2 linked regions of the Arabidopsis thaliana genome follow. The protein of the gene in region 2 interacts with the protein of the main gene of each other region in a biochemical or structural test. Each region holds a gene or a part of one and is shown on either strand. Other genes may lie near its edges.

Region 1 (3,757 bases), on a different chromosome or scaffold from region 2:
AAACAGAAATTAACTGAAAACAAGTGTACAGTATATGACATATTATTGGAAATAAAGAACAAAATTACTGTAATTTTTTTTATAATATGCCCATCATAATTGAATTATTTTGGCTGACTTTAGTGAAACAAAAACAAAACTGGAAAGAACATTAAAATATTAAAAAATATTAGGTAAACGAATTTGCGTGTAGAAGTTGTTTTGATTGATAATAAATAGAAATCTCTATCATTATATTTATAAGTTACAACAAAGAGATCTAAACCAAACTCTAAACTAGTTTTTTTGGAGCTTACCAAAAAAAAAAAACTAGTTTTTTTGGACATAAAAGAACTAGGTATTTTTGCTATTTAAAGCATTCACAACTACCACCAATAATGATTAATCTCATTGTAGGAACACTCGAATCTTTAATTTTCACGATAAATCTTTTAACCATTGAATCTCTATGAATTTGTTAAGAAAATAATATAATTAAGACTTTGAGAGGACTCGATCTAAATCTAAGAGTAAACCTAGAAACTTGTATAAAAATGGATATTCTTACCATTTAAATGTTAAAGCATCCTTAGTGACAGTGTCCAGCTATGATTTAAATTGTAATGAAGAAACTTAGAAACCTTAATCCCTCAAGTATCATGGTAAACAAAACATTTTAATAAACTAAACCTTTTATTTTGTTATTATTGCAGTATTTTTAACCTAAAGAAATGGGATTATAATGAAGAAAGATTCCCCACTCGCGTTTCACGTCACAAGCCGATCGTGTAGCAATTGTCGTTATTGGATCTGAGCTTCTCGATTAAAAATTGACGCAGTAATTGGATCTAATAAGAGCATGAGGTTAAAATATGAATTATTTGAGATATGAGGAAATGAACAAATTATACCCACTTGTGTTCTTTTATGTTGAACAATCTTCTGGTTTGTCAACTACCTGTTGAACCATTTCTAAAAAAACATTGTTTCTGTTCGATTTAAATGTGGGGGAAAAAAAATAAAATACATGAAATATAATCTTAGAATCTAAGGAAACTTATTATTGGGCAATAAATAAGAATTTGCTGAAAAGTTTTAGGGGCATCTTTTGGAACTCTCAAGTTTCAAACAATGGTGAGTCTAATTTTAAATAATTGTTTGGTGTGTTTAGTAAAAAAATAAAATAAAATTAATACACATGACCAATTTACGTATTTGTTATTAGGGAAATTTTTTAAAGGTTTATACAATTTTGGAATGTTTAGTTATTTTTAAAAACTTAAAAGATTTTTTTTTATTGATTTTGGTAAATGACAAAAACTTTCACTAAAAATTTGAAAACAGAATGTTTGACGGATGCTAACAAGCTTTTAGAAAGTATTATTTCGACCATAAAATTGGATGAACACTGGATGTAAATGGAATTGATAACAAAAGAAATCGAGATATAAAATATCTATTGTTATGTCTTCATTCAGCTTATAAGATTTATCATCTATTGGCAATCCGAAAAGATGCAAAACTCTTTGTGATATGGTATGCGCTAATGTTCATTTAATGCCTCAAGTTTCACCCATTAGAACACAAGAAGAAACTTCCGAAGATGCTGCATGATGACGAAAACATACGCTTAGGACGATGTTTTCCAAACCGCATAAATAAAACAGAAAATTATAGTTTGGTGGCACGCATATGGGATTGTCCTTCTAACAAAAATGTGCATTCACAATAGTTCTTACTTAGAATTGCTAAACTGAAAAACTCGTGTGAAAACTTAAGCTAAATATGTAAAATCCATAAATTTATGCATAGAGGTAAACATCAATTTTTTTTATCATCAAGTAAAAGGCACATGACAGATTCATGAGAATAGATGAAAGATAAGAATGTTGAATTTTAATAATTTAAATTGATGTGTTTAATAATTTAAAGAATCAAAAAGGAATTTTTTTGGTAAATATATATAAAAATTTCTATAGACAATTATTTAGAAAATCAAAATATAAAGTAAACATGTAGGAAATATACAATAACATGTATCAATAAAAATTTGGTTGCCCTAAAAAGCCTAAAATTATTAACAGCTCGCGAGAGCATTCTTGATGTAAACATATGTCTTCCATTTTGGAGAAAACAAAAAAAAATACATTGAAATAATTGAAATTCCCTCAAAATAAAAAAAATAAAAAAAAGTATTCAACTTTTTATTTGACCCTCTCTCTCCTCTTCCCTCTTTTCATGGTAGACCCAATTCTCTCTCTCTCTTAACAACACTCTCTCCTCTCTCTCCCTCTCTCTATCTATCCCCATTTCCATGGAAGCAAGCAGATGTGTTCTTACATCTCTTTCTCTCTCTACAGCCTTACATGAACAGTGACTGTTCTCTCTCTTTCCCTCTCCTTCCTTTTTTCTTCTACTTCTCCTTCCCTTTGCTTCGAAAAGGGTATCTCGTGATCTTTATCGCTCAAAAATCTTCACTTTCAGGTAACGATTTATTGGGTCTCTCTCTCTCTCTCTCTCTCTCTCTAAAGCTCTGTTCTTTTTATTTCTTCTTTTTCTGGGTTTTATTCTCTGATTCTTGCTAGATCCAAAAGTTCTTTATTTTGCCTCTTCTTCTTCTTTACTTTAACGAGATCTGTTTTTACCCTTAAAGACTCAAAATAAAAATCCAAACTTTTTGCATGAAGAGCTTTAATTGATTTGTCACTTAGATTTGATATTTCAATTTGGGTAAAATTTTGTGCATCTACTTAAACTTTCATCTGTAGTAAGATCCGTGATTGTTGTTTCTGAGTCTTCTCAATCCAGCTTTAAACTGATGCTATTGTTTTGTTTTGATGACTATAGATCAGGCCACTCGTTGATGGAATCTGTGACAGTATTGATTACTAGAGAGTAAAGACAAGTTCTTTAAATCTCAGGGAAGAAGGAATTGGTGTTTAAGATTGCTCTGTGTTAATGATGGCTTCAAAAACTCCAGAAGGATCACTTACCAATTCCAGTCAAAGTATGTCAATCAACACTTTAGCAGATCAAGTATCTTCGAGTTTGTCTTTCGCTGATCCAAGTAGTGATGGCAAAACCGGTAATAGTAAGATCAACGAGCAAGGTGAGAGTGGAAAGAGTAGCACTTGTAGACCAAGTACAAGCAGTGATATAAGCGATGAGAGCACTTGTAGCAGCTTTAGTAGCAGTATCAACAAACCTCACAAGGCTAATGATGTGAGATGGGAAGCTATTCAAGCTGTTAGAACTAAACATGGTGGTTTGGGTTTGAATCATTTTAGGCTCTTGAAGAGGTTAGGATGTGGAGATATTGGAACTGTTCATCTTGCTGAGTTGAATGGAACTAGGTGTTATTTTGCGATGAAGGTTATGGATAAAACTGCTTTGGCTAGCCGGAAAAAGCTTCTTAGGGCTCAAACTGAAAGAGAGATATTGCAGTGTCTTGATCACCCGTTTCTTCCGACTTTGTATAGTCATTTTGAGACAGAGAAGTTCTCTTGTTTGGTGATGGAGTTTTGTCCTGGTGGTGATTTGCATACACTAAGGCAGAGACAACCCGGGAAACGCTTCACCGAGCAAGCAGCTAAGTAAGAAACTTTTTCTAAACTTTCTTTATCTAAGAATCTAGTTTTGTGCGTTTATATAACCTTAGTGACTTGCTGTTTTGCAGGTTTTATGTCGCGGAAGTGCTTCTTGCAATGGAATATTTACACATGCTTGGGATCATTTACCGTGATCTGAAACCCGAGAACGTTCTTGTGAGAGATGATGG
Region 2 (3,757 bases):
GAGATCTTTCTCAAATCTTTTGTTACTTCAATCTATCAGAAAAAACTTTCAAACATATACGCATTCAAGGCTGACCCTTTATGCATCAAGAAAGTGGTTAAAATAGTAGACCAAAACCAAAGTAAAGTGAAAATAAGACAAGTTTGAAACAGTACTTGAAGGAAATGAGGGACCAGGTGATGCCGAATAAACTGGAGTAAGAGTTGGGATTACGAATAAGTTTCCTCCAAACCATAATGAGAATGAGTCTTGTCATCACACTTGTTGGTGGCATCACCTTAGCCTGCGTCGTTTTGTTGCTTATGTTGTTCCCACCGTCCGTTGCCAATACTTTGCTATCATCGTCTTTGTTACCGAAACTAAACTCTTCCCTCTCCACGTACTGGTTGTCTAAAGTAAGGCAACAACACATGTAAACAATTAAAGAACCCCTTAACCAAATCATAAATATCGAAGGACATAGAGAAATTTTGGGGGTGTTTTTGTAAAGAAAATAAATTAGGGTGCGAAAACAAAACAACAAAGTTATAGAGGGACTATACCGTTACTATTCCCCTGAGGTACAGAGATCTTAACGTCCTTTTGATGATCGTTCGTAGCGGTGGAGTAATCGGCGTGGTGGTTTCCTCCTCCACCGCCGAACACATCTGAGACCGGCGAAGCACTTGAGCTCCACACAAACATGTGAAGATCTCTTCCGTTTCCGTCTTGTCTTTTCCCACCAACCACCGGAGCGTTTCCTTTCGCCGCCGTGCCTCCACCACCGCCAGTGTTGGGCGAAAACATCCCTGGGTTCGGCGCCGGATAATGCGCTCCTCCACCGCCACCACTTCCTCCAGATTGATAATGAAACCTCCCAGCTCCAGCAGCAGTTCCAGCAGCCGTCGGTTTAGCAGGACCACCGTCTTCTTCGTAGTTGGAAGGTCTCGGAGTAGGACCTTTAGAACCAAACACAGCTTCTCCAGGACCAAAGTTAGAGTTCCGACCACCACCAGAAGCCATCATCGAGTAAAAATCAGTATGATTAAAACTAGAGCCACGTGGCGTTGGGTTTCTTGAACTCTGAAGCGAATATATCTCAGCGTTGGTTAGATTCGAAGGTCTAGGTGTCGCAGATAAGCCTTGAGACCTTCTCGAGTAAATATCAGACCTTGAAGCATTAGAACGACGAACAGTAACATGAAGCTTCCCATCTTCTTTAATCTCAGCTTCAGTTTCCAAAGGTTGTCTTCCATCTAAAGACATAATGTCGGAATCAACATGAATCGAAACAATAGATCCTGCTGTGTCTGGAAACTGCTCGGAGATCAAAAGCTTAGCTCCACGGTACTCAAAGAGAAAGAGCATGAGTGTGTACCAAATGATACACTGAAGAACAACGATTTGAACCATGAGGTCGCCGGAGAAATTACCATACATGCCTTTGAGAAGAGGTATCCCCATGACTAGAGTGTTGGGGAGTGTCGAGAGAGAGAAGAGAGTTATGGTCCAATCTAAAGAACCGTTGCGGCTGAGTTTGCACCAGAGGAAGAGGAGAGAGAGGACAATGACTTTCTGGAGAGAATCTGCGGCGAGGAAACGGAGGTTCATGGCGTAAGGGTTGTTAGCGGCGATGAAGTGGAAAGAGAGGAGAGGAACGGCGAAGAGAGCGACGAAACGGTTTATGCCGGAGCATTGGTCTGGTGTGAAGATTTTCCACCATTTGACAGAGCCGTAAGCGAGGATCATAGCTACGTATAACGGAACCATAGCCGTCATAACGTGGTAGAAGTCCGCCGCCGTAATCATCTTTTGTTCGCCGGAGAAGAGAGAGGGAAGAGAGAAGAGCTTTTGTCTTTAGTTTGAGAGAGAAGTGGTGAAGAGGGAAAAAAGAGTAAAGTGAGTGTTGAGAAGAGACCACATTTTTATATTCTTTTTATTTTATTTTTTTGTCCGTTGAGAAAATACCATATTTTTTAATTAAACATATATATATTTTGTTAATGAAGCTAAAACTGTTTGCTGATTTTATTATTTTCGTTTTCGATTATTTGGTTAGTTTCTAGATATTATATTCAAAAGTAGTTTACGTGTAGGAGTAAAAAAACATTAAATGTAAAATTGGAATAGCTCAACATATTTATTTGTTTTGTTAAACATTCCAACATAATAGTGTGTGTGATGTAATTTTGATTGAAATACGACAAAAAGAAGTTTTTTTGAATGTAATAAAAACGAAATAAAAATGGTGGTTGATGGGTGCGTGGTGGAGCTTTGGGGATAGTGAAAGAGGCGGCCTTGTGCGCTTTGCGGAGTCCAAAGCAGAGCCTCTGTTTTTGCCTCTCTCTTTTTTTTTTGGCCTTTTCAAATTATGAATTAATCTATTCGGTTGATCAATTTATCCCCTATACTAATTATTAAATTTATATTTTTACCATGTTTAAAAATTGTTAAATTTATTTTTGCTATAAATTATTGTGATTAGTATGATGGGATTTTTGGTATTGACTTTCAATTGATAAATCACAACAGAAGATAAATACACATTGAAGTGATGATATAAGGCTCGATTTGATGTTTATATGAACTTAGAAAATTTTGGTTTTAAAGATAGAAGTCTTCTCCGAAGAGAGGTTGAAAGTCTTTGGAAAAATGGTTGCAATTGAACAAACTAGTTCCTAACCAAAGACTTTGTGGGTGGAGATAAAAGAAAAGATGTGATATCACTAACATAAGGTCGAAATCACTTTTTCATGTGAGATGGGTGTGTGTGAGTTATCATTGCATAGGTTATCATTTACAGTTGTAGTTGCGCATACGAATTATTTATGAACTATTCAATCCTTTGATCGCTCATCTTGGAACTTATTTTCTTTTACTGTTTACTGTATAACATTACTAACAAAGTTTTATAAAATATATTTCGTTGAGAAAATTAGTAACAAAGTTTTATTGAACATAAATACGTAGAAGTTTTTTGAAAGAAAAATGTTGAAAAGAGGGTGGTTCTGGTTTGCTTACACAAATCAGTCTGATGTGTTCTTTAATACTACTAATAAAGTCCGTACAAAAAGCAATGGGTTGATGATATAATGAGGAGTGTTGATATTTGAGGAAACACAATATTCCATCAACAGTCTGCTCTTCATTTTTCTCATCATCCCATACAAACACAGTTCTTCTTTTTTTTTTCTTTCCAGCTTTTTATTTTTCCAATGTTTTCAACTTTTTTTTAAGCATAATAATAATATATAGTACTAATATAATTCGACTTTCCTTGCCATTTCTTGCGCTTAAAGAGACTATACACACAAAAAAAGTAGGTTATGCAATCCGAATAAAGTAAATATGTTGAGAAGTTACGAAAAAATAAAAGAGTTGATGACTTAACATCATTTTTCTATTAAAAATTATAAATCAAGTAGTTTCTATTTTTTTTTACTGACAAATAATTTTAAAATTGGTTCTTTGAAAGAATTGAATTTTTAACACGGCAAAAAAAAAAAAAAAATTGCAGGATTTTTTCACATTCCATATAGTTAATGATATTTTGGATCTTTCAAATTATTTGTCACTAATCCATTAATCTTTCAATCTTTTGTTGTGCAAATCCTTGTTACAACTGCGACTTTGTGTAATATTGAACTCAAATTAACGTTTTTTCTAATACTCTATGTTTGCACGGCTTGACTTATGGTTATGGGTGATGGATGACCTTTTAGCAAATACTTGAAACGAGAAAATTAAAATTGATCTTTTAGCAAACACTTGAAACGGG

What was found. Proteins that work in one complex are often made in the same cells at the same time.
Region 1: of the proteins of PIN1 (region 2) and D6PK, one has a biochemical effect on the other in vitro, tested with the Arabidopsis thaliana proteins (one study listed by BioGRID).

What each region holds. Positions count from the first base shown.
Region 1 is NC_003076.8:22,640,815-22,644,571, reverse strand, and holds the start of D6PK (D6 protein kinase), read left to right. Parts: upstream 1-2,157; 5' UTR 2,158-2,463; exon of another isoform or gene 2,464-2,709; intron 2,710-2,826; 5' UTR 2,827-2,937; coding exon 2,938-3,572; intron 3,573-3,655; coding exon 3,656-3,757.
Region 2 is NC_003070.9:27,657,803-27,661,559, reverse strand, and holds the start of PIN1 (Auxin efflux carrier family protein), read right to left. Parts: upstream 1,888-3,757; 5' UTR 1,789-1,887; coding exon 543-1,788; intron 391-542; coding exon 156-390; intron 1-155. UniProt on the Arabidopsis thaliana protein: Acts as a component of the auxin efflux carrier; this activity is enhanced when activated by D6PK-mediated phosphorylation.